Linked DNA regions of Rattus norvegicus. The protein of the gene in region 4 purifies or fractionates together with the protein of the main gene of each other region. This does not show direct contact. Links are inferred from orthologs where the notes say so. Each region holds a gene or a part of one and is shown on either strand. Other genes may lie near its edges.

Evidence for each region. Proteins that work in one complex are often made in the same cells at the same time.
Region 1: the proteins of Ctnnb1 (region 4) and Pml purify together in Homo sapiens (affinity purification with western blotting; 3 studies listed by BioGRID). This does not show direct contact. The link is inferred for Rattus norvegicus from reciprocal best matches to the Homo sapiens genes CTNNB1 and PML.
Region 2: the proteins of Ctnnb1 (region 4) and Cdh11 purify together in Homo sapiens (affinity purification with western blotting; 3 studies listed by BioGRID and IntAct, with this or other methods). This does not show direct contact. The link is inferred for Rattus norvegicus from reciprocal best matches to the Homo sapiens genes CTNNB1 and CDH11.
Region 3: the proteins of Ctnnb1 (region 4) and Hnrnpa1 purify together in Homo sapiens (affinity purification with mass spectrometry; 3 studies listed by BioGRID, with this or other methods). This does not show direct contact. The link is inferred for Rattus norvegicus from reciprocal best matches to the Homo sapiens genes CTNNB1 and HNRNPA1.
Region 5: the proteins of Ctnnb1 (region 4) and Cdh5 purify together in Homo sapiens (affinity purification with western blotting; 11 studies listed by BioGRID and IntAct, counting the BioPlex papers as one, with this or other methods). This does not show direct contact. The link is inferred for Rattus norvegicus from reciprocal best matches to the Homo sapiens genes CTNNB1 and CDH5.

What each region holds. Positions count from the first base shown.
Region 1 is NC_086026.1:67,522,490-67,528,504, reverse strand, and holds the end of Pml (PML nuclear body scaffold), read left to right. Parts: intron 1-876; coding exon 877-1,027; intron 1,028-1,946; coding exon 1,947-2,728; 3' UTR 2,729-5,341; downstream 5,342-6,015.
Region 2 is NC_086037.1:2,307,224-2,313,238, reverse strand, and holds the end of Cdh11 (cadherin-11), read right to left. Parts: coding exon 5,961-6,015; intron 3,902-5,960; coding exon 3,405-3,901; 3' UTR 1,099-3,404; downstream 1-1,098. UniProt on the Homo sapiens protein: Cadherins are calcium-dependent cell adhesion proteins. They preferentially interact with themselves in a homophilic manner in connecting cells; cadherins may thus contribute to the sorting of heterogeneous cell types.
Region 3 is NC_086025.1:136,255,802-136,260,318, reverse strand, and holds the end of Hnrnpa1 (heterogeneous nuclear ribonucleoprotein A1), read right to left. Parts: intron 4,436-4,517; coding exon 4,343-4,435; intron 4,196-4,342; coding exon 4,121-4,195; intron 3,918-4,120; coding exon 3,759-3,917; intron 3,240-3,758; coding exon 3,084-3,239; intron 2,894-3,083; coding exon 2,838-2,893; 3' UTR 2,828-2,837; intron 2,601-2,827; 3' UTR 1,900-2,600; downstream 1-1,899. UniProt on the Homo sapiens protein: Involved in the packaging of pre-mRNA into hnRNP particles, transport of poly(A) mRNA from the nucleus to the cytoplasm and modulation of splice site selection.
Region 4 is NC_086026.1:129,515,377-129,521,937, reverse strand, and holds the start of Ctnnb1 (catenin beta-1), read right to left. Parts: upstream 4,363-6,561; 5' UTR 4,221-4,362; intron 4,026-4,220; exon of another isoform or gene 3,897-4,025; intron 1-3,896. UniProt on the Homo sapiens protein: Key downstream component of the canonical Wnt signaling pathway.
Region 5 is NC_086037.1:835,424-841,438, forward strand, and holds part of Cdh5 (cadherin-5), read right to left. Parts: intron 2,849-6,015; coding exon 2,560-2,848; intron 1,753-2,559; coding exon 1,636-1,752; intron 215-1,635; coding exon 50-214; intron 1-49. UniProt on the Homo sapiens protein: Cadherins are calcium-dependent cell adhesion proteins. They preferentially interact with themselves in a homophilic manner in connecting cells; cadherins may thus contribute to the sorting of heterogeneous cell types.

The DNA.
Region 1 (6,015 bases), about 62 Mb from region 4:
GGAAAATCTCAGTTAGAGAGCACCCTTCCCATCCTTGAGGGTTTTGAAATGCTGTTCCAGCCAGGACATCCTGGATGCTGGAGAGCAGGGCCTGATTGGAAGCCTGGGGTGGGTCCCAGAGCTCCAGTCCTCCTTGTACAGCTGAGATAGGAATAACTCAAGGATCTGAGTCTCTGAGCTACTCCCTCCAGGGTCGTCTCCCAGGCAGGGGATGTGTGCCCACCTAGATGTGGACTTCAAGAGGCCAAGCAACCCTTGCCTTCCCTGTAATGTAAGATGTCATGGGTCAGGCTGTCTTTGAGGACAAGGAAAGATAGGCTCCTCCCCTTTCCAAAGAATCACCTGGGGTTGCTGATGAGGCCCCTTTCTCTTGTCTCCATTTGTGCTGTTAGTTTCTTCTGAGTCTTCTCAGAGAGATGAAATTAGTAGCAGATATCTCAGGCCTTGCCCACCAGAGTCATTGGCCCCTTCCCTGAGCCTCTGCAAGCAGGCACAACATGTCCCGTCCCACCCCATCTCACACTTTCACGAACTTGTGTCAACAGTTTATAGATTCATACCTCTCACGTACACACCTGTATACATTCATGTTCCCCAGCATGGTCTTACCCTTTCATACCTCCCTTCCTAAGCTGTGTGCCCTGGCTCATGTGTGTGACCCTTACTTACATGGGACACATTCAGTTCACACCTGCATACACAGTTGTGCATTCCCACTAGTCTGCCCTCTCCTGTGCACAGAGAGGCTCCGACTGTGCTAGCAGGTAACATCCCCACAGCTACCTGTGTGCACACTTGCTCCAGAGCGCAGACTCACCTAGCCTTGGACCTTCAAGGCCTCTGAACTCCTAACCTGTTGGCTTCTTTGTGTTGCAGCCCTCCCACGAGCTGGACGACAGCAGCAGTGAGTCCAGTAGCATCCAGCTGGAGGGCCCCAATTCCCTCAAGGCCTTGGATGAGAGCCTTGCTGAACCCCACTTAGAAGACAGGACCCTGGTTTTCTTCGACCTCAAGATTGATAATGAAAGTGGGTTCCCTGAGACCTAACCTGCCTCTTCTTAGCTTAGTCTCTGAGTCCCCAGGGAAAAGACAGGTAGAACCACGTCTAAGGCTCCAGCCATCCCCTAGTCAGCAATGACAGCCAGGTGGACAGAACTGGGATGCCAAGTGTTGCCATATCTGCAATGGAACCTGGACATGGGAGGGAGAAATATAACTCCACAGATTCACCTCTGAAAAAACCTTTGTGGAGAGACCAGGAACAGTGGATAGGCCATTGTTGACAAGTAATCCACTCTTGACTTTTGGCTATAAACACACATTTCCCAGAACAGGGCCCAGCCCACCAGCAGATACATAAGGAGGCCTGAATAACCCAGGTCACAGAGAGTTGTGACTCCTTCTGGAAGTCCCTAGTCTTCCTCTCTGTCTGGCCTCTCAGCTTTGGCCCTTTACTCTGGTCAGCAGTTATGGGCCCGGTATTGGGAGTAGCCCAGCCAGCCAGAATCATTAGATATTTAGCACAGAAAAACCATCTTTGGGTTTCAGGAGGAGACTCTGGGCCATGCTTTTAAGGGGTGCAGCCCAGGGCTCCAATCCAGCAGGGACAGATGGGGTTGGAGGTGGGAACAGAATAGAAGGCCGATAAGAAACACTGTGGGGTCTCTGTGAGAGGTGGAGGTTGAGGAAATAGAAAATGGGCAGAACTCTAAAGGTTGGGCAAACTCCAGGGCAGGAGAAATAGGAAAAGCCAGCTGTGGGACAGGTGAGCCCCCCAACCCCCATCAGAGCCAGGCAAGGGCTACATATGGAAGATACTTGGTTCCTGCCAGCAGGCTTCCAGGTGGGATTTCTAGACAACGAGTCAGCAGCCCCGATCCCTTGCACCCACCTCAGTGAACCCTCCTGAACCCTGAAACCTCACCCTACCCTTCTTTCCTGCCTAGCCCAGAAAATTAGCCAACTGGCTGCGGTGAACCGGGAAAGCAAGTTCCGTGTGCTCATCCAGCCCGAGGCCTTCAGCGTCTACTCTAAGGCCGTCTCCCTGGAGTCCGGGCTGCAGCACTTCCTCAGCTTCCTCAACTCCATGCACCGTCCCCTCTTGGCATGTCCTAGGCTGTGGGGGCCCGGACTCCCCATCTTCTTCCAGGCCCTGAACGACATTAACAAACTGTGGGAATTCCAGGACGCCATCTCGGGGTTCTTGGCTGTGTTGCCCCTCATCCAGGAACGCATACCCAGCGCCAGCAGCTTCAAACTTAGGAACCTAGCGAAGACCTACCTGGCGAGAAACATGAGCGAACGGAGTGCCTTGGCTGCTGTGCTGGCCATGAGAGATCTGTGCTGCCTCCTTGAGGTCTCCCCAGGTCTGCAGCTGGCCCAGCATATCTACTCCTTCAGTAGCTTACAGTGCTTTGCTTCCCTGCAGCCCCTAATTCAGGCACAGGTCCTGCCCCAGCCTGAGGCCCGCCTGCTGGCCCTCCACAATGTGAGCTTCCTAGAATTGCTGACCGCATACCGCAGCAACCGGCAAGAGGGCTTGAAGAAGTATGTCCACTATCTGAGCCTGCAGACCACCCCATCATCAGCTTCCACCCAGATTGCCCAATTCCTGCAGGCTCTGAGTGCCTACATGGATGGACAGTTGGAAGGGCACATCCCTGCTGGGGCAGAAGGCACTGCTCTTTCTCTCTCTGGCAGAGCTGAAAATAAGGGATGCCTGGCCTAGCCGCTCAGCACAGAAGGAGGGCTGTCTCTGAGCCAGGCCCCACCCTTCACTACATTCCCAGGTCCCCGTCATTTAGTTCAGAACAGGTGTCCTTTCTCTGGGACCAAACTCAATTTTCTCTAAAGTCCCTGCAGCGGACATGAAAGGTACCCCGGGCCTAGATCTCCCTTTCAGAAGCCAGAACCAGGAAGGGTTGCATAAAGAAGGCATGATTTCTGGGCTCCCAAGGCCCCCAGTCACCACCTACCACTACCATGGGTGGCCTTGCAGCTCTCCCTGGATGCTCAATCCGTGTCCCAAGTGACCTGCTGATAGCCCACAGACAATACTTTAAGGTGGTACCAACCGCTATACCAGCAGCCCCATGAGCACTCAAAGTGCCTTTCGAACCAAATCGCCCTCGAGAATTTGGGTTCTCTCAGCCCCAACTGACCAGAGGCCAACTGCGTTCAGTTCTATTTTTCTTAAAGTACTTTTGTTCTAAAGGGGCCTTGCAGCAGCAGAAAGTCAGGAACTGTCGATCCACCCATGCCCGTTTTTAGTCCTCGGTTCATCAAGCCACCAGACTCCTCCCTGCACTCAGCCCTTCCAAGGGGCATCTGTGGAGCACGGGCACCTCAAGCTTGGGATGGCGAACCCGTGGGCTTTACCGAAGGTCTCCGGAATCTCTGGAGCAGGGCCTGTAGTGCTAACACGTTCTCTGGGTGGTTCTGCATGCTCAATTCTGAGCATGACTGCTGCCTCAGACCATCCCCCTAAGGGCAGCAGAGAAAGGCCCTGGCCTTGCACATTGAGGATGACTAGGAAAGGGCCAGAACCCCAGTGTTCTCTGAGGTGAGCTGGCTGACCTGCGGTGTTATCTCAGCCCCCACACAGCCAGCCCTGCCATCCTGGACTTTCAGGGTCAGACAGCAGGTTCACTGGGACAACAGGTAACTTGGAGCCCAGCTCTCATTTTGAGCCATTGGTCCCTGGCCGCATGGCCATCGTGGGGGTCAGTTGTTCCCTGCGGTTGTTGTGCTGCTGCTGCTACTGCTGCTGCTGTCCTCCTCACCCTGACCCACTCTTGGTTGCTCCTATGGTGTTTTCCACGTAGCCCAGAGTGCCCGTGTTTGCATCTTGAGGCCTCCACTTTCATATGGGTGATGTCTGCGTGCCCACACCTCTGACTCATCCTGTGGGTGTTCTAAGGCGATGTTTCCTCAACCTTCCCAATGCTTTGACCCTTTAATACTCAGGTTGCGGTGGCCCCCAACCATAAAATGATTTTGTTGCTGCTTCATAACTGTAATTTTGCTACTGTCCATGAACTGTAATGAAAGCATCTGATATGCGACCCCTATGAAAGGGTTGTTTGACCCCCAGATGGGTCAACAGCAGGTTGAGAACTGCTGCTCTAAGGCATTCTGCAGACGCTCATTCCTACCACAGTAAGGCTGAACTCTGGAAACTATGCATTAGAGCTCTGGTTCTGTGTGGGGATAAGGGTGGGAGGGGAAAGGAGTTTGAGACCCTCGCCTGGCTGTACTGGCAAGGCAGTGCGGGGCCGTGTCTTATACCTTGCCCTTGTCCTATCCCTGAACTAAACAGGGCCCACTGAGTCCCTGCCTCACTAGGTTGCTTGTCTTCAGCTGCTGATAGCTTAGTGACAGAAGGAAGCCCCGCCCTGTCACTGCTGTCACAGCCTTTAGTAAACATGTGAATCCTGAAACCCTAGCTCTTCTCATCCCTCCTTCCCTAGAGGAGCCTTTGAAGTGCCTTTTTTCCTGAGGACAAAATGCTCTCCCAGGCATGGGTGAGCAGGTAATTGCCCAACTCAGCTTTGGGAAAAGTCTTTCAGAGTCTGGCAGAGCTGAGCATCTCCTTGTTCAGAGCTAAGGACATGAATCCTCTATTTCAAGTAGGGAAGCCTAGGTGGACTTCCCTCAGGGTGGCTTCCAAAAGGGAGAGGCATCAACTTCAAGGATTGCCTCCCAAAGGAGGCACGAACCAGAGACCAGGACCTGCAGGCACTTCGCTGCTGGCCTCCCCCGTTTTCAAGTTTCTAGAGCTGGCAATAAAATCCGATAAATTGAAAGTGAGGAGCAGCGTAGGAAATTGGCAATGTGTGGTCCCTCTGTTGTCTTTGATATCCTGGATGGAGCTTAGCTCACAACTTTCAAAGCTTCAGTGCACAGCATACTAGGGGATCAGTTCCTGGGCTGGGTAAGCTGCCAGGCTTGTTCAGCACCAATGTACTCACTTCCTGTCCCAGATGCCCAAGTTCCACTTCCAGAGCTTTAGTCTCTCAGCTTGACCTTTCGACCAAAATATATCGAAGTTTAGCTGCGTGTGCCACATTTTACATTTTTGTCAAGATTTACCCACAGACACAGCAACCAACACCTTATTTGGTCTGGGAGTTGGGATTCAGTTTTTGGTAGATTGTGGCCCTGATCTGGTACTCCTAACTCCCTGGTCCTCAGGCAGCTCCTCTGTAAAGTGAGGTAATGTATGTTATATTTTTACTTCATGAGATCTTTGCTGGAATTAAAAAGAAGAGTAGTGCATGTGACTTAAGGTCTTATTTTATAGACAAATAAGATGAGAGTTACCACGTTTTAAGAAAACGAACACCAAGTCTTAGCACTGTAACAATATGACACACTGTGTTGGGGCACGGGGGAGGCATCTAGATCTATGGGAGCGAGCCAAGAGTCAGGCACCACTACATCATAGTAAGGGAGCAGCTCTGTGTTCCTGACATACCCAGTGGGACAAGGACCTGAAGTAAGGTCAGGCTTCCAGGGGCTGCTTGGCTCATTCCTGCCCCAGCCTCTCTTTTGGGAACAAAGGCTAGCTCATGCCCTTGTGGATGTCCCTTGAAGGTCTGCTTTAGTCTATCCCCAACCATGTTTCCCTATCCTGCACTACACCGAATGCTACTGAGGTGCCTGCTCTGCCACCCTGGACCATACTCCATTTCACCTTCAAAGTTTAACCTTGATCCTGTCCCTCTCAGCAGATCCCCTAGGTCTTCTGAGACGGTCCCTGTCAACACCCTAGGTTTGTCTGGTTCCCCCGCATTCCGGGTTTCTGCCTCTTTTTTTTCTCTCTATTAAGGGCACAGCTAATTAGTGTGGACTCCCTGGCTGTGGCACTCTAGCCGTTAAGTCAGGACTCTGAACCATCCCAGGTAGAAGATGCGCCAAGCTTACACTACTCCCAGCTTCTGTCAGCAGAGGGCGCCACAGCCCACATGTCTGACTAGAGGTTTGTCAGACCATTGTGCACAGCTCTGCTGGGGT
Region 2 (6,015 bases), on a different chromosome or scaffold from region 4:
AGGATGAACTGAGAAAAAAATTGAAGAGATTTATAGGATCGTAATCTCATAGAGTAAGAAAGCAAAGGAATCCAAATTCATCTTAAGTCTTTGAGAAAATGGAAAGGAGTTTATTTAATAGAACTATGATCTAGTTTGTTTGGTTTTGTTTGGTTTTGTATTTATAACACTGTAGCTTCTCTGTGAAGAGAAACTAAGAGCAAAAGTAACTTTTGACAGTTTCATAAACTATCCTAGTAGTACTTGAGCAAAACAGGCCCATTTTTCTTTCCCATTTCTGATGAATGAATTTGATGATCTCACTATATCTTATTTTCATCTTCCTAGAGATATGCCCTGCCATGTTTTAGGTTGTATACACTTCTAATCTGTCCTGAACTGCTTGTTACATAGAGCGTGGTACTATTCCTTCAACAGTTCCATTTCTTTATGTCTCTTTTGACTGAACTGTAAAGACACTCATAAAGTAGCATAAAGACCCAAGAACAATTTCAAACACTCTTAACCAGATCCCATCTGACTAAGTGACTATATTTACAGTGAATCATGAATCAGCATCTTTAAAATGTTCTCTAATAGATATAGATAACCTGATCTCGTGTTCCCACATCTTCCTCAGGATTTCTGACCGGAACAGTTGTAATAAACCTACATTCCATCTTACCCTTTCCCCTAGGTATTTAATCATATTTATTTGCATGTCTTGAGGGATAGGTGATATGAACATGAAGCAGGTGAAGGAAAGTCAACAAAGCAGGTATTTTGAACCATAATTGAGAAAAATAAACATTGTCAAAGAAGGTAGCAAAGATTATTCTAAACTTCAAGTAGCTAATATATGGCATGCAAAAATCAGATCTTAAAGAATGAGTTCAGCAATGAATGAATGAATCAATAAGTGAATGAATGAATGAATGATAAGTGTAAGCCATACCATACCAGATAGACACATGTCAGATAGAACACACCAGAATTTCTTTTTCATGTGTGTGTACACCAATGTCATGAAGCTGTGATTGCTTTATAAGCAAGTAAGGAAGGACCCCTTAAGATAAAATGCTTTTAAGGTAACATGTTCCGAATGAAAAAAAGATTCCATGAATTGGGAAAGACATTTTATTTCCAAGCTTCTAAGAGGATTCTACAAACATTAAGATCCTTAAAGTAAAAAAGGAAAGAAAGAAAGAAAAGGAAAGAAAAAAGAAAAAGGAAAGAAAAAGGAAAAGGGAAGAGAATAAGAAAAACAAGACCTCTTAACTATTGAAAAGTAGACAGTACTGGGGAAAAAAGTTCCTTGGCATAAAAATGTGAAAATGGAGTTGTCAACTCTATTCTGACTACATTCCTACATAAGTAAAAGAATCATTGTGATGGTGAGGGGACTTACAGCTGAGTAAACAAGGTTCGTTTTCCTTTTGAGTTAGTCAGTTATTTCAATTCAATTGGAGATCAGCATAAACTTAGCAAAATATTCTTTGGATTACAAAGTCTATCTATAAAATAAACTTAACCTGCAATTTTGCAAGTACCTAGAATGCACATTCCTTCCTGTGATAAAAGACTCTCAAGTGGCATGTCCACTGATTTTCTCCCATTGAATTAGTCAACTGATTCAATGTCGATGCATTGTAAACTGGGAGTGAGCACATCATAAAAAAATAGTGTATAAGGTCTCAAAAAATAACTACAATAAAGTAAAAAAGAACCAAAAATATCCATAATCCAAGGGAAAAAACAGCATGTGTCTTGTGTTTCAAGAAAAGGAGAGGAAGTAGTTGCAGTGTGACTCTGTGCGGTGTCTTCCCAAGTATTGCTTTGTCTGGACCTTTGGTCCGTTGTACAAGTGAAAGGTCCTTCCCAGAAGTTCCACTTTCCAGGAAACTAGAGGCAACTGCATATGACTGTGGCATATCACAGATCAAATGACATCAATCATCACTGTTCAACATAGTCCCTGATCTCATTGAGAGTACATGACCCAAAGCATCTTCTAAAATAAAGGTTGGAAAGTGAATTGTCCTTTCTCTCATCAAGACTTGAAATTTTATATTATTTGAAGACAAAATAAAATTACAGGAGGAAAAAAATGAGCACTTTCAACTGTCAGTCAGTCTTTATCCTAATAAAAATTACATATGGAAAACCAGAGTTGGTTTTGACTATGAACCCCTTCAACGCCACAATGCTCAAGGCGGGCCATCAAGTCTATATCTAGAACATCGAGAGGTCTGACAGTCCTCATGAATTTGTCTCTCATAACTGTGAGTTCACAAGTTAAATGCATAATATATAACATATTGTAAATCCATAGGCTAATCATAGGCTAGTCTAGATCTCTAATGTCCTTCTTTAAAGATATACTCCAGGAAAAGCCAGAACATACAAAAATAATTTACATGAAGATACAGAATCTTATCTTTAAAAAAACCCAAACATATTTGATTTAAATAAACAATAAGAGCAGCAGACTACAACAGATCATAAATAGGGTTATTAAAAGATAACAATTAAATTAGAAATATAAATGGATCATTAGAAATCCTTATTTTTTTCAATGTTAAGAATCAAACCCAGAATTAAAAAAGAATCTTTTTTTATTTCAAAGATTGCTTCTTATATAGAAGCTCATATTAAAGCAACAGTACAATGTTCATAAAATATAAGTGTGATGCTGTAACATTTTCGTACATGTCAGAATACTGATATTTGTATGTATACTAAAATAAGAACTTTAAAATTGTACAAATAGATACATTAAAAATGACATAGAAATAGGGTGCTCCTCACTGAAACAAGACAGTTATATCTGGCACGTATTAGTTTAGGATGAAAGTAGAAGCAAAAAGATTTACAAGAATCAGCAGTAACAAGATTGATGCTCAAGAGACATAATTGTACATTGTATTGTACATACATTGTATGGGTTTAAGCTGGCTGGATATTATATATTTCAAGTTTAAAAATGCACTACAGATAGAGTGTCCATAGTTTAAGGCGAAATTACAGCTCAGAACTGTTGTCCTTTCTAATTTTGTGGAAGCTTCTTTGACAAATTAAAAAATAAAATAAGAGAGACTCAGATGTTCATAACACATAGACGATTTCCCTTCATTGTAAGTTCACTGTGGACTTTTCCTCCATTTAAATATTTCGTGTGCCAAGTGGTTTTTTCTCTAGTGAAGTTGATAAACAACTTCAATATTTGCTTTTTTTAGTGGGAAAAGGTACTTCACAGTATTTTCCACTTTGATGTCCTTGCGGTTTTATTAAATGTTTCCTCTCTGTAAAACTCTGCTTGTTTTAAATGAGCCTTTCCTTGATTTAAAAAAATACCTGTTTACACATCTTCTAGATTCTTGAGAATGCCAGACACAGTTCTTAAGGCCAAATTTGTATCATTATTGTTAAGAGTCATCATCAAAAGTGTCTTTGGAGCCATACAAGTCTGCTAATTTCTTAAAACGAGGTCCCCAGTTCTGTAGATAGTCGTAGTCCAGGTCCGAATCTGTGGTGGCAGACTCCAAGGAGCTCAGGGACCCAGCCACGGAACCCCTGCCCTCATAACCATAGATTTGGATGGAGTCATAGGGAGGGGCCGTGGGATCATTATCGGCCTCCTGTATTCTTGTGTTGATGAAGTCGTCCACATCCACACTGTTGGGTGCTGGTCGCAGCCCAGGTCTAGGCATGTACTGATACTCAGGTTTGATATCTTTGCGAGGGATAAATCCATTGATACCGTCAGGATTCTGCAGGGTGGCAATGTCGAAGGCTTCGGTGTCTTCCTCACCACCCCCTTCATCATCATAGGTTATGATGTTCTCCCGGACATCCTCTTCTTCAAATACAATGAGTGGTTCTTTCTTTTGCCTCCTCAGGGTCACAAACAACACAACGATGACTGTAGGATAAGAAAAAGAATGTCAGCAACCCAAAGTTAAGCCTAACCTGCCTGCTTAGTCATCCCAGAGGCGCTCTGCTTAAGAACCTGGAGTGATGAGAGAAAGGATCTTTCCCCAGAACTCCCAAAGAGCTACACGCTGACCTGCCTCTGTCTGTACAATCTGCCCTGAGAGCATCATACCCTGTGAACTGACAGATTGGAATTATCTTCAGTGTTTTGCAAATGAATCGCAATGCTATTTGGCAGTCCTCTGAAGAATCAGGGAGGATTACTGTTTCCTGAAAGAGGAACATGAATGCCTATTTCTTCTTGCAAACAAGTATAACTGACTCCCCCACATTTAAGATTAAAATGTTCGCTCAGGACTATGAAAATAGGCGACTCCTGTCCAAAGGCCCTACTCTGTAATACAGAAGTAAATCTTACCATAAGAGTGAGGGGGCAACTATAAAAACCCTCGGACGAAAAATATACTGCCTAATGAACATAAAAATGGAATGCTATTTAAAAACACAGGTGTGGCCATCCTATCTTTCCTGGGAGAAGTATTCCACTAGGCTTGCGCACTTGGCAGAGCCAGCAATCATTTATATGGAATGCTAGATACTTCTTAATTTCTATCGATTCAGTGCCCTCCCCACTCTCATCAGGAGGCTCCAAAAATCATTTGTTTGAAGACTCTCCCACACAAGACAGAAAACAAGGCTTGCAGCTGCTTTTGGCAAATAAAGTGAGAGCTTTGGGTTCACATCTTTCTAAGGATCAGGGATTAGAAACTAGACTTAACTCAGATTACACAAGTTCCAGGAGCCCTGTGACTTCTCTGCTGCATATTCATCCTCCCCAGGTTCCTTTTTCACTTTTGTTGTTGTTGTTATTTAACTGACTAATGGATTTGTTTTGCTGTTGTTATTTGCTTGTTTATGCTTGCTTTTGGTTTTTTGTTCATCTCAGGAACATTTCTTGGTATCCCATGTCAGAAACAAGACAGGGCTATCGGCTCCTGCTCCATGATCTAACATTTATTATCATACTTTGGTTTATACATCTAGCATTAATTTTTGAGAGAGCTTTATACCTAGTTTGGAGCACCCACACAGTACAGCATCTTTCATTAGCTATAAAATTCTACTTCCAGAATTTGTGCATGTTCTCTAGGAATATGTCTGACACCTTTGTCCAATGCCAGACATTCTCTAACCTACATCCATACTACCTTATGTCCCAACCACAGAATCAACAATGTACCTTCATTTGATTGTGAATTCCTTCCTTGAGAATCTGAATTCATCCAATATAGAAACTTTGAAGACATCTGTCTATATCTCTCAGACTTTTCCATAGGATATGACTCCCAGATAGCACCTAATAACTGCTAAACCAACCTCTCTGCCTCCTTCCTATGGAGGTGGTCCTATTAATTCATCCTATAGAAAATAAGTAAATTTGTTGTAAGATGCCTTGCATTTGAAGTCCTACAGTGGTACTTGGTTCTGTTACAACATGAGCAGAAGTAAGGCCTACCTCATCACCAACTGATGGAGAAGCTCATGGGTATGGCCATAAGTCAAAGCAAGCAGATGGATAGATGCTGCAGGTAATTAGAAGATCCCTGCTCTGCTTCTTCTGGCAGAGGTCCTCCTCTTTCTTCATCTATCCATTGCAACAATAATTATTCTTTTGGTTCCATTGCTCCTAATCCATTTTCATTTCTATTCTTAAACAGAAAAACCTCCCTCATATATCAGGTTTCTGCATAAATTCTTCAGCTATACAACTGTTTCCAGTGTCCCTCCAGCTCACTGATGGCATTTGCTTTACTGTCCTATCATACCACGTAAAGTCCACATTAGGATTTTCCTCAAATTCTTCCAGCATAATTGGCCAGCTCAGCCTCCTTACCCACTGTGCAATAGACTTCACGAGAGCTATTGCATCTTGCGGTTTGTTTTAAACTGTGTGAATGTACACAGTACAGTCCTTGCAGTCACTCTGTACTGGGTAAGTCTCTTGAAGCATGTGCATCGGTTGGACCATGGGGCAGAGAGATCCTTACCCAGAAGAATGACGATGCAGGCAAGGATGGCGATCAATGCCCCAGTGCTCAGACC
Region 3 (4,517 bases), on a different chromosome or scaffold from region 4:
GATCTAGGCCAGCCAAGACTATAGCGAGACCCTCTCAAAACACTCTTAGGTGTAAACCACACAGAATCCATCCTCTAACTGAAGAAATTAGATGCTTGGGTCAGAGTGCTGGGATTGGAGGCATTTGCCACCCTGACCAGATTACGTCTTTAGATTTTAATGTGGGTTTCAGTCTGTGTTAAGGAGTAAAAAGACTCATTGCTGCTGTAAAATGCCACAAAGGAAGACAAGAGCCAAGTTAATTAAAAAGTTTATTGTAAAAAAAGTAAGCCATTCACAAAATTGAATGATTTTTAGCAGTACAGCTAAAACCCAACTGCATGGCAGTGAGAAGTAGTAGAGTGGCCCAGAATAAAGGCTCTTCTCTTAAGGATGTTCCTGTAAAGGAGAAGAAAGACAGTTATGCAGCTTTACATAAGACAGTGGTGGACTCCTGGTTTGTATGTACAGTTCTAACAAATTATCAGTCAAAAACTCACCTTTTAGCCAATAACTTCTGTAGCATGTTTTTTAAACAAATTTTATGACAGCAGTTAAGCCTCATAGCAGATTCCTTCCTAAAAAAGCAAACAACATTTAGAACTAGCCTTTTGTGGGGCCAATTCCCATCATTAAACTAGTCCCACCCCCTCCCATTAACAATCCACCCACCCTCCCACCATTTTGGGGAAATGTATCTAATATTACTTTGAGCCATTGCTTTAAGAAAATGGGTCAAAGGAAGGTTAAATAAAATTAAAGGGCCAAAACATATTGTCACAATAGAAATGTATTCATTCCCTTCAAGTAGGACTAATAGGGCATTAATTAAATAAAAACAATTCATCTCCAGAAAAACCAAGTGCAGCTTAACTGGACTAGTTTTGGCTCAATATAATTAAGAGAAATCCAACAGAAAATTGGACTATAATTTATAACTATACGGATGTAAGTAAAATCTGTTCTTACCTAGCAGCATAGCAATAAACCTTTCCTTCTGGCTCTGCCTGCTAGTCCTAAGAGTCAGGTGTGCCTTACTCTCGTCTGCCTCCTTCCTTGCGATGGTCACTCAAACTTCACTCCCTCCTAGCTTTCATGGAGGTGCCGTGGCCTGCCCCTGGCTTATCTGTACTCCACATACCACAAGTGTCTACTCTCAGCTGTAGAGATTCTGAGCTGGAAGCCATTCGCGCTATACTTGCTAGCAGTTCCTAGTAGCTGAACATCTCCTGGATCTTTAAAGGCATTGTCCCGATTCCTGAGGTATCTGCAAACTCCCTCAATAGTTAAGGTTCCACCTGCTATTGCAAACTCAGCCAGTATCATGGAACTACCATCCATGCTTCCCCCACCCCCACCTCCCACCTCCCCACTTCCCCCCTCCCCAAAACTTCCAAGCAATATATATATACCCATGAGTAGGAATACACAAGTCATCTATGCTACCCCGTACAATGGCACTTAAAAGGGGCACCAAATGGGAAACTTGTAAGAACCTATGCACAAGTAACAATTATCGGATAGTAACTGTTTTGAACTCATTTTCTATACAATTAACACTTGAGGACAGTAGTGTGAAGGAAAACTGCCGTTAATACAAAATTATACATTGTTAATTATATTTGTAACTTAAAATTTCAACGAACTAGAATCACCTTGAGGCACACCCACCCACAACCCAGTTAAAACTGCAGTTTTCCTTCACTACAGCCTGTGATTAGGGCAATTAAGGGTTCTTATAAAGATGCCCCAACACTGCTAATCTCTGGGCTTATAGGTGGCATTAACCAGCAGTTGGCTTCTATGCTGGCAGAGCTTTGAACTTACACTGTGGTAACAAACAATCAACATTTACCAGGGGTATTGGGTAGGGAAAGTCCAAATCTCTGCCAGTCCCAAATCCATACAGTTGTCATTCCATTCAAGAGAATTAAATCGTTTATTGAGTACACATGATAATGGATGATACACAAGCTTCATTCCCATCTGTTATTTTATCTGAGACCGTTATTCAATTTTGATATTGCATAGGGTGTGCCAACAACCATTTTATAACCAAATTGTGATCTTGCTTGGATGACCCTTTAAATGGTGAAACTCATTAAGTTACAACAGTAACTGGCAGTTTAGCAACACCAAGGTTTTTGAAGACAATGGCTTCTCCACCCAAGCAACCATAAATAAATTCCAAATGGAATTTGGCACCACCCTGAAGGAATTCTAACTTCACACTGTTGGGGAAGTTTACCAAGATGGCTTCAGAGTAGACTAACTTTACACAGCACATTAAAAAAAAAAAAAAAAGACACATTTATTCAGCGTCATGATCAGACTTTTACATTTAGCAATCAACAGCATGGGTGAAAAAGGTCTACAGTAAAACCCTTCGTTGGAATGCTTTACACTTTCCACAGAACAGAAACTAAAATAACCTGTTATACAATTAGTCACAGATACAGTCCTGGAGTTTTTGCCCACACACATGAGTATTGTCTAAAACATGTCTTCTTTGTAGCAGCTAGGCCCTGCCACCACTGTGCTTGGCTGAGTTCACAAATCTGTTGTAACCTGTAGCTTCCCTGTCACTTCTCTGGCTCTCCTCTCCTGCTAAGCTTTGTTTCCTGTTGAACAATATGGAATAAAGTTGTTAATCTAAAACACATTAAGACTCAAGGCTACAATCCAATAGAGCAAGTTGTTTCCCACAAATTTTGCTGAACTGCATATTAACTTAATATCCACCATTTTACTGCAGTTATAATGTTAACTATGTTGCACTGCTCAGCTACATTTGGGTTACTGGGTTCAATTATAAAATTTTGTGAACACACACAAAGGAGGCACTTACCTGGCTGTAATTAGAACCTCCTGCCACTGCCATAGCTACTGCTGCTGCTGGAACCTCCATAGCCACCTGAAGTATTAAGACAATGCTTTGTTTCAATACTTTGTGCTAACAATTTTGTGGTAATTATCAACGATTTGTTTAAAAACGTCCCTAGCTTAAATTAAGATGACTTAACAAGGATCACATGACCCTCCTGGTTGATGCCCTTTGAAGGGAGATTTAACTATCAGTTTTTTATTACATCATAATACTATACCTTGGTTTCGTGGTTTAGCAAAGTACTGGCCTCCACCACCATAAGGGCCAGAGCTCCTGCCTCCAAAGTTTCCTCCTTTCATCGGTCCAAAATTTGATGACTGGTTGTTGTAATTGCCAAAATCATTGTAGCTTCCACCACCTCCAAAATTGCTTCCTAAAATGGAAAAGTCTTTGATGACTGACAAGCCAATGTGTTTAGGATCCTGAATCAAAGATTATATATACCTTCTGTCAACTTCAAGCCCTTACATTTCATTCTGAGTGAGGCATTCAGTTAATAATCCAACATTTAAAGAAAATCAACCTAACTAATGACAGTTTCTCTCAGTGGCAAGTTAGAATCGAAGGTCTTTGTGTACATATTCTAGGTCAAGACAGACATTTCTTGGATATATCAACTAAATGCCTGAAGTCCCAGCAGAAGGTAGACAATCCAGCTATGTCTCTAACTACCTCATGTGGAAGGAAGACACTAACCACTCATCCACCTACTCATTTTGGGGGAGGCGGCCCCAGCTTAAAGCCAGGAGGAGGTAGCATAGCAAGCCTATTTGCACGCACCATGCAATGTACCTACAATGCTCTAAGAGCCAGCCGTGAAGTCTGAGACGGGCATAAACCCTGGAAGTCTCATCTAGCTCCGCACCAAGTACCTGCGTCACTGGATACCTACCACTACCACCGCCAAAGCCGCCTCCGCCTCCTCCGTTGTTATAGCTGTCATAGCTGCCACTCCCGCCATAGCCACTGCCCTGGTTTCCATAACCCTGTCCACCACTTCCATAGCCTCTGCTTCCTCCAGAGTAACCAGGGCCGCCTCCTCCATAACCACCTACAAGAATACAAGTCTTCTCAATAAGACAAAAGTATTTAACAAGAAAAATCTACGCAAGTTAAATAGCTAAAGGCTGCTCAGGGCATGCATTTTACGGGGCTGACTGAACTTTGTCATGCACTAGGTTTAGTCTCTAGTAGCCTATTCTAAAGGTAGAGGTCGCCAGAAACCACTCCTTACAGACTCCTTAAGAAACTTACCATCATTGCCAAATCCATTATAGCCATCCCCACTGCCACCATATCCACCACCACCACGGCTGCCACCAAAGCCACCTGGAAGAAACCAAAGCTTTAAACCAGGCTTTGTACGTGAATGAATACTTATCAAATATCAAAACCTGTAAGTGCTGGGGACACAGGGTAGCAATTACTAGTTATAAGTTCTAAAACCAACAAGGAGCCAAACAAAGCCATACACACCACGACCACTGAAGTTCCCTCCTCGACCAAAATTGTCATTGCCACCGAAACCACCTCCACGACCACCACCAAAGTTTCCGGAACCACTTCGACCTTAAAAGAAATTTTGGATCATTAGGTTAACCTGTAATAACTAACAGTGTCCTCCTCACCCCAAGTCTAACCAAGCAATAAA
Region 4 (6,561 bases):
TTACCCCAAAATATGAGATTCCACTACTGCACCCTTAGGGTTTATCGCACCACACTGGTCATTGTTGTGGTTTGAAGGTATCATGGCTGGGTATGACAGTTGGTTGCCTCCTTTAAAGGATTGTACAGTGTCTTCCGGTTCTATAACTAGCACTCAGGTAGAGGGCGTCCTCTGGGCCTTGGTCTCTTCAGCAATAGGGACTTTCCACTACGTGGGGGCAACAGCAATAGGCAGTTTGCTATGTTCTGGGGTCTACTGGACAGATCTGGTCAAGAGGGCTTTTCCCATCTAGTATTGGGGTTTTGTTTTCAGTATTTGAAGGGAGCATTGTCAGTCCAGATGAGAAGACTGCTCGTTGACTATGTATGTATATTTATACGATTATGTGTACTATAAGATTTTTAGGTAGATAGTTAATAGTACAAGGGACGTGCTGAGTGGAGGGAGGGGCAGACGTGGCCTCAAGGAACCACAGGCAACTGAGAATCCCTGAGAGTCTTCCCTAGAGAGGAATACAATTGGTCATCCAACACCAGCTCTATAAACATACAGACCGAACAGGTTGTAGTTAGTGGTGTGTGTGTGTGTGTGTGTGTGTGTGTGTGTGTATGTATGTAACAATGATTCATAATAGAGGCCATGAATTTGAATGAAAGCAAGAAGGGTATATGGGTTTGGAGGAACGGAAGGGGGAAATGACATAAATATTTCCAAAAAAAAGAGAGAATTTTTAAAAAGTCACATTCAAATGTGACAGTGCTCCCTTAAAGCAAGAAATGTGTACTCATGTTTCCGTGCGTTCTGAAGGCTAAATGATCACCACCTGTCTCTATGCTATTTGATTGTAGTTTGGTTTTGAAAAGCAGAATCCCAAACCAAACTCTTAAACTCTCAAGAATCCTTCATATACTGACCATTTCCCTTCCAAAACTAACTCAGAATACACTTCACTCTCTTAACCTGGCTAACTTGAAACGGTATCGTATGCTCAGGGGCGGAAAGGAAGGTCTGTAAGAACAAAAGCACTCTCAGTGTGCCACAGACAACCTTCCCACCACCAATACTGCTCCTGGTTCACCAGAGGGAACTGCACTTGCATTTTAAAGTGACAGATCTTCACTGGGAACTTGTGAGAATTTCACCTCTACCTCCTCAATATAGCCAAGCCTCCTGTACTCCCCGAGGCGCCTGAGCATTTGGGCTCCTACTGTAAGCAGATGTGCCCTGACAGACTGCTCTCTTGCAGAGAGGCAGCTACCGTCCCAGGCCAGTCTAGTGACTGGCACAACTGGTTCACCTTACAGTCTTCAGGATCCATTCCACACAAACTTGCTGAGAACAAGGAAAAGTGACCTGTGTTCTGTCCACCGGGGGGCGCTGGACATGACTACAGCACTGCCGTCTCAATTGAAACTGGGAAATGAGTCTTAATTAAAAGAGACAACTAAGTTCCAAAACAGTGGCTAAGTCCTAGCAGGACTGCCTACTTCCTTTAAAAAGTCTTTCTCCTCATGGAAGGTTAGATGCTTTTTTCCAGAGTTCCACCCCCGCAGATAAATCTGGGTTCCCAGCCAAGGGAAGCCCGGTCTTGCAATGAATACATACATAGGCAGCTTTCTTAGGTAACAAGAAATGAAGACCTTTTTCCGGAGCGTAAAGAAGTTCTGATCCACTTCCAATTGACATAAATCACTTTCCATTTTGTAAAACCTGTTAGCTGATCTAGGAATCACACCGTGAATGGTGTTACTGAACAGAAGCATCTCATGGCTGACCATGTCTCAGGACAGAGGCTGCCTCCACAGGCCTCAGAACTGAGGCAGCTGCTCAGCTATTTTCTCTCTATGCATAAAGATGTCTTCAGTGAGATTGTTTTAAATAGCAAACAAGTTGACAGGAGCCACAAAACAAACAAAAAGTGGAGTTAAAACGTATGTACGTTTGTAACGAGTTTGTGAATACTTGTTTACCAGGAGTTTATCCCGCAGGTATGTTTCTGACCAAGCCAGTGACCAAGGACACTAAAAATTTACCACTAGGTGATGGGCAGAGACCTTGACCTCACCTCAGCACTAGCATTTCATCTGACTCCATCTACTTTCACTGTCCACTTCCTGCTTAAAAGTATGGCAGCAGACTATGGTAGGCCCACCACTGCACCCCCACCTGCAGTGTGCACAGGCCTCTTGGCCATGCTCTGCTCTGCATTTATTTGCAAAAGGGCTCCACCAGTTTTTCTGAGCACACATTTCAAAATACTAAGAAAGTTGTCTTCTCATCCCCACCCCACCCCGCCAATGGCATTCTGAAACTAGTGCTAAAGCTTCATTCCCAATCTAGTCCCATCGTCACTACAGCAGGAGACACTTCCCCTCGAGTTGTAGACATCTGATACCCAATATTCAGTCTCTAAACTAATGTTCTCAATCTGGGGGTCCAACAACCCTTTCACAGGGGTCACCTAAGACCACAGAAAACATAGACATTTGCATTATGGTTCTTAACAGTAGCAAGTTATGGAGCAGCAAGCACGTAATTTTGGGGTTGGGGTTACTGTAACAATTGAGAAGCTGTTAATGGGTCGCAGCATCAGGAAGGCTGAGAACCGCTGCTCTAGACTATCTACTAGAAATGACCAGATGACAGGTGAACTCTATTTCTTGGACTTGAGGTTGGTCTTCTTGCAGACCGTGAGGCCCAGGACTCTGTCCCAGGCAAGCTAAGCTTCCCAGATAGCCTGCTTCCTCAAGGACTTCAGCCTGGGAGGGTTAGTTGTAGAGAAAGATCTACAAGTTTCCAACTTCCCTGCCACCGCTAAAGGCCTTGTCCAGACTCGGCCTTCAGGACAAAGGTTAGGTCACAGAATGACTATCCCCAGCACTGTCATCAATGTTTTCTGCTGAGAAAGGACGTCCTCAAACAAACCTTGAGGTACTTCTTTTTAATTGGGGGATTTCTGAATGTTTAAGGTGAAAATGAACTAAATGTAACAGAAGACCTTAACTCAAGTAAAGTTTGAGCCCGACATACAAAATCGAAATGCAAAGGCTACAAGTTTAAGCAGCATTAAATCAGAACCAAGAGGGCAAGCTCTTTCCCGGGACGAGGAGTCTGCACCGAGACGTCTGCAAGCCTCAAGTAAATAGAGAAATGGCTTCCTAAATCCCAGACAAAATGCTTCACAACTTGGCCATGTGAAAAACATGAGGCAGACTTTATCAAAGGCAACGCTGCCGTCTCTTCAGCTTGCTGTCTGGTCTAAGCCACCATTATTCATGGCACAAAGCTCTCGTTTCACTAAAACCACTCCTCGATTTCCTCTCGCCGACCTCCGCATACCAGCAGCCCAGTCGCTCTCCATTCAGAGCTCAGGCCCGGGGGCGGGGGGGGTGCGGGGGGCGCGGGGGAGGGGAGCCCACAGATGTCTGGAGACCCGAGCCCGAGACAAAGCTGCCCCGCAGCCAGCGGGCTCACGGGAGCGGGCCTGGGGCACCGAACTTGGAGCGTCGGTTCCAAGTCCGGTCCCCCAAACAACACTCAGAACAAGTCTCCAGGCTCCCACGCCCTGGCGGTCAGCGCTCTGGCCACTCCATCTCGCCCAGAAAGCAAACGCGCCGGGGAGAAACACTTGAGGCGGACCCCACACTTACTGGCTAAGGGCAAGTCCCCCTCCCCCAAACTCAGGCTTCGGGTCCCGCGCACACCCTCCCCCCAGGAGTGGCCGGTGACTCGTCCACGGTCCCGAATTCCCGCCAGCACCTCTCGGCCCCACAGCCACCGACCCCACGCGAGTCCAGGACGCCACCACCCTCCGAGAACACGCTCCCGACGCATCCCGCACGCCGCATCCAAGTTTGGCGACTCCACGGTTTAAAGTTGTTTGGATTCAAACTCACAGTCAGATCGTTGCAGGGGGGGAAAAAAAGACCTATCTGTGCGTGCTCCACGAGGGACAGAGGGGACGCGTGCCAGGTCCCGCGTCCCCCGGCTCTGCGGGCCACGGAGGAGGGGCCCCCGCCCACCCCGCCCCCGCCGCGGCCCCAGCCGGGACACGAACCGCGGTCCCCACCCCCCACGGCGGCCACCCGTCCATCCGGGCTCCCGGCGCGCGCCCGCCCGGCCCCGGCCCCAGCCCGCGCGTCCCCGCGGCCTCCCGCCGCCACCCGGCCCGCGAAGTTTCCCGCTGGCGCGGCGCGAGTCGGCCCGCCGCCGCGCCGTACCTTGGGGCCGCGCGCTACTCCCTCGCGGCCGCCCGCTCGGCCTCGGCCTCCTGCACTGACGGCTCGGCTCCCACCGTGCTCCGTCTCCGCCTCCCCGGGCCGCGGGCTGCACAGAACACTAGCTGACGCGGCCGCCACCGAGCGAGGGCTTAAGATGGCGCCGCACAAGGAGCGATTTATAAGCGGCGCGGCACCGTGTATCCTGCCGCCGCCGCTCCGCGCGGAGCGTTCCGCCGCGCGAGGACGAGGGGCGGGGCGCGGGCGGGCCGCGGAAAGTAGTCCCCGCCGGCCCGAGTCGCTCTGCGCGTGCGCCGCCGGGAGGGGCCGGGCCGGGGCGTGGCGTCCCGACCCCGCTCCAGTGGAAACTAATGGGATCGAGTGCGGTCCGTCGCTGCGGGCCGGGTGGAGCGCGGCCACTGTTGGCGCAGGTTCGAGACTGTAGTCACCGGGGCTTCGGCCGCCACACCCCTAAACCACCACTGGACCCCACTACACTTCACTGTTCGCGGGAGTGTCCCGCTCCTCTTCCTGCCGTGCCTCTAGAATCCGGACAGGGATCTCGGAGCCCAGCCACCTTTCCTCCCCACCCCAGGAGGCCATGGAGTCCCCAGGAGTGACTGCTGACATCTAACTAGAATAAATGATTCAGCTCCACGGCCCTGTTCATCAGTGTGATTCCTAGAAATCCCATCTTACCCGGACCCACTGGGTCAGTGTCTACAGAACCAGAAGTGGGGACGTTTTCCAGGGACTGCAATTTTTACTGTATTGTTTGAGAAACTCGAGTGTGTTGCTGAGAGGACCTGTGGATAACCTCTTAAAATTTTCAAAACTAATTTAGTATCCTTCGAGAGCATTATTTTTTTTCTGAATCATTACAATAGGCTGAAGTTGGGTCTTCTCTTGGAAATGGCCTCATTGTTGTCCTCCACGATTTGGCACTTGTCAAAACTGGTGCAGTTGGGGTGAATTGGCTGTCTCCAGTCTATTATTGTGAGCTCGTGTCTCTTCCCAAACAATGGTAACAGCGAAAGTTGCCCTATTGCCTTCTTTCATCCTGCGCTGTAATTAACGCAAGTAAACAATAGGCCCTTATGTACAGGTACTGGCAGGAAGCCTGCGCAACCACTGAGGCAGGGCCAGGGCTGTACGGCCAGCTTCTTTTTTAAATGACTCAATTTCCTATCTTAAAGACATATCGCCGTAACTCTGTGAACCACCACAGTCCACCATGAAGGAGCTGCTCAGTGAGGGCCTTTGTCTAGACCTTTCCCCTCTGCAGCTCTGCTGGGATTTCCACAGAATCAACTCTGCTGCTGGCTGGGGCTCACTTGGCTGACTCGGGGAGATGGGTCAGGAAAAGGTATTTTACCAGTGGTGGTTGCAGCCACCAATCCCTAATTTTAATTGTCACATGCAGAGTTAAAGAATATTTGCTCGACTCGATTAAGGTCCTGCTTTTAAAATTAGATAGCTGACTTCACCTCTGTCAGGGGTGTCCTTTCTTTCCTTCCTTCTTTCCTTCTTTCTTTCTTTCTCTTTCTTTTCTTATCTTTTTTTTTTTGACACTTGCTTCTTTTTTCTGTGTCCCAATTCAGCTTTAAAAAAAACCGGGGGGGGGGGGGGGGGAACGCTATTAAAACCCGTTAAGAAATGTCTGCGCCAATGAAAGATCTAAATGATAAAGACACCTCTATATTTATATTTCTCTAGCCAGATGCCAACATAAAGCATATAATTCCAGCATTCTAATCCCAGCTTAGAATTAAAAGTCTCCGTCCCTATTGATAATTCACAGAGACTATGTTTCAGAGAAAAGGCGGATTTTGCCACAATGCAGCACCGCTCTTCCTGTCAAGGGTAACTCTGCTGGAGACATAACCAGGTGACTGGCCTTGAAACCAGTGAGCTGAATTTTACATTTCCTCCAGACCTCTGTTCGCTTCTCTCACGAAACAAAACTGCTCCAGAATTTTTTTGTCACCAAAACCAGATGACAATTTCTATGAAATTAAGACAAATGCTGTCATTACACTAGAAAGAAGCACGTCATCAAGATACCTGACGGATAAAGAAACCTGCTGGTTCCAAGAGCTAATTTGAAAATAACATAAGTAGCTAAGGAGGGGGCGGTTTTATGAAATTAGTTGCTAAAACAATTGACCCTAGGTAACACACTTCACTTAAATGGCACTTGGCCTCTCTCTTACACCCTTTCTTCCAAGATCAGCCCAATGGGTTTGACATAAAATAATTCATTTTGAGAAAGGGGGGGGGGTGTTTTTCCTATAGTCAGAACACCCGAAGATCAGGCTTTGGCTACACTGAACACGAGCCTAGA
Region 5 (6,015 bases), on a different chromosome or scaffold from region 4:
TGGATCGTCTCAGCCCCTGTCTACTTAAGGGCCTATGAGAGGGGCTTACACTGAGTAAAGATGGGGAAGTTGTCATTGATGTCTTCCAATCTGATCAGCACAGTGGCTGTGCCTGACTCTCCCCGCAGACCCTGGGCATCTTGTGCTTCCACCACGATCTTGTATTCAGCCCGTGTCTCTCTGTCCAAGTTTTTGTCCTTTGTGAAAATGAGTCCTGAAAAGAAAGTGACCCAACAGATATTGTGTTACCTGAGGAGCCTTGAGAAAATCTGAATGCCAAGATCCTTTCAGAAATACACCGGTGACTCCACTATATATCTGAGATTGAGATCCCTAGAACTATAGTCCACTGCCTCCATACCTTGCCCTGTATGGCTAAAAGTTGGCCAAATGTATGGTTCAGTATTGTTCCTAGCCAAAGAGAATGTAATGTTGAGAAAGACCATACTGCCAATTCCAGACTCAGAGTGAGATAGATTAGTGATGTCTGCCCTGGTACACATAAATATGATTGGCTATGCTGTGTCTTAGAACTGAGAGTGCTGTACTCGATTAATGATGTCTGTATTGACATATGCAGAAGTGGCTGCCCTTTTTAGTGCTACGAGTGCTGTGATAGATTAGTGACATATCTCTTGGTGCCCTTAGAAGTACCAGTTGCTCTGTGTATTTGCTCATCTTCTGGAAGACAAGTGTGTCTGGCTAGACTAACTGGCCTTCTTTCTTGCTTCCGCGGTTCGGTTCTTACAGTTTTTTAAATTTGTTAAACACCAAATTTGGCCTGAGAAGCCTTCTGTACTTGCAGACTTGAATCCTGTGATGAACTGCAACCTAGTAGCATGTAAATAAACTAAAGCCCTAACTTAGGAGTATGCTCAGCCAATCACAGCAGCTGGGCTTCAGTTAATCATAGGCTGCCACCTGTTCAAAGCTATTCAAATAAAGCAGACACCCCAGCTGGAAACGACCGAGCTGTTTCTAGACTGCAGGTTTTTTTTTTTCTTCCCTGCACTATAAATATCACCCAACTATGTGGCAGCCCTGGGGTTTCTCTGAACTTGTTTGGCTTCTGGGGTGTCCCAATTTGTGAACTGTTCTTTGCAAAAATTAAACTCGATAAAATTTAATTGGTCTAAAGTTTTCTCTTAACGAGGCACAAAAAAATTATGTGGCATGGCTGTGCCTATGCAAAATCTAATTCCAACTTCACAGCTACTGCACAAGGGACCATGAGCATTCCTGTTTTCTGGACAAAGGAAGCAAGGTTCTTAGGTGTTAGATAACTTTTCCAAGGGGCTGTAGGGCTGAGCAGCAGTTCTAGGCTCAAATCAGATGTCTCTGAACATGTACAAAGACCTTCCAACCACTATGTTCTTTTGAGTCCTGGTCTATGCTTGGGTGAAAAGGCCCTGATTTTCTTTCTGGACTTGAGTACATGTTTTGGGCAGTTGTCTGCTTTCTTCTCCCCTAACCCACTCCAATATGTCTTTATATTTATTATGCACTCCTTCTCTGGATCAGTGACTGGTAACACCCATCAGATTAGAGTTCTCTCTACATTGGCCCCTGCAATATTCATGCCCCTCTCCCATCCCTCTAAATAGGCACCCTCCCAAAAGGTTTAGTCATACAGACCAGAATTGTCGATGGCGAAGTACTCATTTCCTTTCACCATTTGGTACAAGACAGTGGCGTGGCCAGCCACCGTAGGGTCATCTGCATCCGTTGCTGTCACACGGATGACAGAGGTCCCTGTGGAGAGAGAGAGTTCTGGTGTTTCTGCTCATGACTGTGGTCCTCACCCTGTTTCCTGGTGATAGTAAATGGGGTTCTGCTGTTCCTACTTGCCCAAGCTGAGGGAATGAGGGTTGCTTTGTGCCAGAGGGGCCATCACGAGGACAAAGTGCCAGCAAGGGTGAGCCCAGCCAGATCAGTCAGAAAACAGGCAAAGAGAACAGGTGATTTGTATGTTTGCAGGAGAAATGAAGGTGTTTGGGTTTGAGAGAGTAACTTAGGTGATGTCTGGGTGGATTTTCCTTTTCTGAAAGTATGAGAATGTGGGACTGGGAAGGGTATTGCAAAGCCCCGAGAGGGATGGAGATCCTATTTCTCATCCTTTGGAGTTCTAGACTTCCTCAAGGAGGTCTGGTCCCATGGTCTTGAGCGCAGATCCTGGACAGAAGACTAGAGAAACACACTCTCTGTCTGGACCTTCTGGAAGCAGGTTGAGGATAGGTTAGTACCTCCCAAGCCCATATCTAGGGTGATTACACGCTCTGGGGTCAGGATCAGGGCCCAGGCTATAAAGAGAGTCAGTGCTCAGCACATTATGAGGATTAAAACCCATCTATGGTTAGGGTCAGGTTTTAGTTTGGGACTAGATCAGAGGTTAGCCTTTAAGGACACATTTCAAAATCATGTAAAGGTGCAAGACAGCATCACAATTACTTCCTTGAGCTTACTGGAGCCCAGCCTTAAGCATTGAGGTGGTTGATGTGAGAGGTGTCTTCAGGCTGGTGTTGAGGAGGGGAGGAGAGAGAGGAAAGACTAGGCACATACCTATAGCTGACATCTCGGGCACAGATGCGTTGAATACCTGGTGCGTAAACACAGGCCAGTTGTCATTTACATCATGCACCTTGACAGTGAAGCTGGAAGGTTGTTCCAGGTTTTTGTTGGTCTTCTTGTCCACAATGAGGGCAGTAAGGAAGTACTCAGAGACTTTTTCCCGGTCTAACCTCTCATAGGCAAGCACATCCCCTGTGTCAGCATCGACCCTGAAGATCTTGCCAGCTTGTTCTCCTTGGAGCACATACTTAGCATTCTGACGGTTCACATTGGACTTGATCTGGGGAAGAACAGGCAACATGAGCTGGGAATGGGCAGTGGGTGCATACACGAGTGTGCATGCTTGTGTGTGTGCACACATGTGACGATGCATGCATGTATGCTGACCATATGTGTGTGTAGTGCTGAGTAGGGATGCTCACCCTGACACTGACGCTTTAAACAAGAACTTTCAACTGGTCACCAGTGAGCTTGTCTTCACCAGGTCACTGCAAGCACGGTAGTGATGCATCTTTTTTAGCTGTGTCCAATGCCTAGAATGGCACATGGAGCCTAGTCACGCATTTGCCACCAGAGAATAATAGTGTCTTTCTCCCTTGGAAGACATGGGTTTTTACTATCTCATCTTTAAAATGGACCCAATTGGATTCCTAAGGTTGATTTGCACTAATGGATACAGCTTCCCACTTGGAAATGAATGCCAGGAAAGCTTGGCTTCTCTTGTTCCGTGCAAAAATGGGACACGTGCCGGTGATGTGCTAGAACTGGCTTCTATCAATATGGCTTTGAAGACTTGGTTAGAGTTGGGGAATATTTGTGATCAGGCTGTCAAATGTGGCCATATTAAAAATTAAATTATCTGAACGTACAATGAAATAAATCATCATCATAGATGGTTTGTTGACCCAGGATTTGGGCATTTGGAACCAGTCTAGGAGACATGCCTCTGGAGATGGTGCCTGTTGCAATTTTCCTAGAGAGCGTTGACAGGAATGAGAAGGTTCACACTGAGTGTGGGCATCGTCGCCTTACGTACTGGGCAAGTGAAGCAGCTTCGTCCACCTCTCTCTGATTTCTCACTACAGATGCTTGCACTGTAATGTCTTCCCCACCAAGACGGATTGCACCTTTAAACTGTGAGCCCAGTTAGCTCTTCCTTCCTGAACTTTTGTTAAGTATTTTCTCACAGCAACAGAAATGTGACTAATATGGCTATTCGAGAAGCAAAGATTTACACATGCTCAGAATTCAGATGGGGTAGGGCCGTGCACGTCTTGTACTAACTCTGCCTTCAGGGATGTCACAGAGCAGTTCAAAGGCTGAGTGTTTACACTGTGGGAATTGGCACGCTCTACACATCTGCACTCTCCCTGCAAAACCAGATGTCAGACATTTATCAGCACAGTTAAGTATTGGTCCCAGTAAATTTGCTTTTGGAATGAGGCACAAGACACTCTCTTCTTGGTGATTTGCAGTGTCTAACCTGCAGAGCAGAACTCCTATGAATTTTGTTTAACTCAGGATGTCCTGCACCTCTTAGACCTCTGAGCTTTCTTTCTTTTATACATGCTATTAGTAGCTTAAGGAAAAGCACTGTGTGCCTGGCACCTTGCACTGAACATCATTGAGGTAAATGATAGTAAATGCTAATAATAGACCCACAAGTCAAACAATAATACGAAGTTTGAGAGCTGAATATCCTATATTTTACAACTGGAGGATATTTAGTCTAAATCTTTATGAGCTCAAAATAGTACTTTTTCTAGAAGGCTAGAATGACCCAAACAGAATTCCACTTGAATAAAACAGAAATTGGATGCCTACCAGGTAGCAGGCACGCTATAGAACCCATAGATATCCAAGGCCCCGTTCTGGCTCTCAGAACTGAGGCTGACCCTTTGGATCAGATGAGGCAATACCCTTGTGTGCAGGTGTGCAGTTAGAACTAGTTAATAAGGTGGGAGAAGAGAGAGGGTGGTCAGGAGGTCAATACAGAAGCCTCAGAGGAGAAGGAGGTAACAAAAGGGTATGGACCAATCCTGGAGTTCCAGAAGTGTCCCTAGAGTTTAACAGTTGTTAGTTCCCATGTGCCTGTTTCCCCTTCACCTCAGCAGCACACGTTACACTAGTGTGGTCCCTTGTTACAACGAAGGGACCAAACGGATGAAGTATTATTGCTTAACACAGGTAACTTCTACAGATTTTCATGTTTTTTAATCTTGTATTTATGTCCCACTCACCATCCAACCATGCCATTTAGTTATGGTTTTACTTTGGTGGTAACAGTTTCCGAGAGTTGATTTTTGATGAACTTGATGGTTTGGAGGAGTGGTGGTCAGGACTCCCACTGGATGCCTTTCCATGTAAACTTCTCTGTTTTTCTCACCACTGAACTGGAGTATAGTAGATTTGGCCCCGCCCCTTTCTAATATCATTGTGTTTGGGTGAAATATCTCAATGCCAACAGCTGCCCTACCCTGGCAGGCTACTCCCAGCTGGCTCCCATTGTCCATCCAGGTTTATAAACAAACGCTCCAGACTTTGACCCTGATAAACACGCACTTCCTTCAGATTGTGTCCTCAGAGCCAGGAGGGGACCCTTGGAGTCCTGTGTTTGTGTCTTGTGCATACTCTTCTTTTATCCAGGATGGGGATCACGTGTGGTTCCTCTACTTCTCTGACCCCATGTTAGGTACCAAATAGATTCTGTCATCACAAGACACAGAGCATCTGACGCCCTTCCAAAGCTTGTCCTGTTTGGCTCTGGCCTGCACTTTCTGATAGTTCTTCATGACTCATCTTTCAGATCTCCATCACGGCTAACCATTCTCCTCAGAGGATGACTCATGTCCAGTTATCCCATTGGGAAAGCAATAGTTGGACTAATGGCATTTCCCTCTATGACACAGAGCTCACTGTGTAAGTCTAGATGTGTGTCTTTCCTTCTGACTGGTCAGAAGGCAGGATTTACATCAAATCCATTTCCAAAAAAGCCATTCTTGGAAGTCAGAGCAGCCTGTGTGCCCAGTCAGCGGGCTGTGGGTGGGGCTGTTAGTAGACACTTCCCAGACCACTCCACCTGCTTCCTTTAGCAGGAATTGGGGAGGCCATTCTGGTGTTGTGTTCAGACTTGTGCCTTCCCATCAAAGGTCCTCTTCAGCCTGTTTCTGTATCTCCAAAACACTTCTGTCCACACAGCTTGTGGGGTTCATTGATATATGCTGTTCCTCTAGATGTCAGGCTCTCAAAACCTGACATCGACCTCATGTTGTGTCACATGCCTAAATGTAGGAGTTGTGAAAAATTTGGCAACAATGAATACTTTCTTCATGCATAATGACAAAATTCATAATCCAACGTGCGATGGTATCTGTAGCAGTGTTTGCCTGTTCCATATCATAAAACTTCACCACTGCCTTGGTTCTCCACCCATGGCACATGGCATAT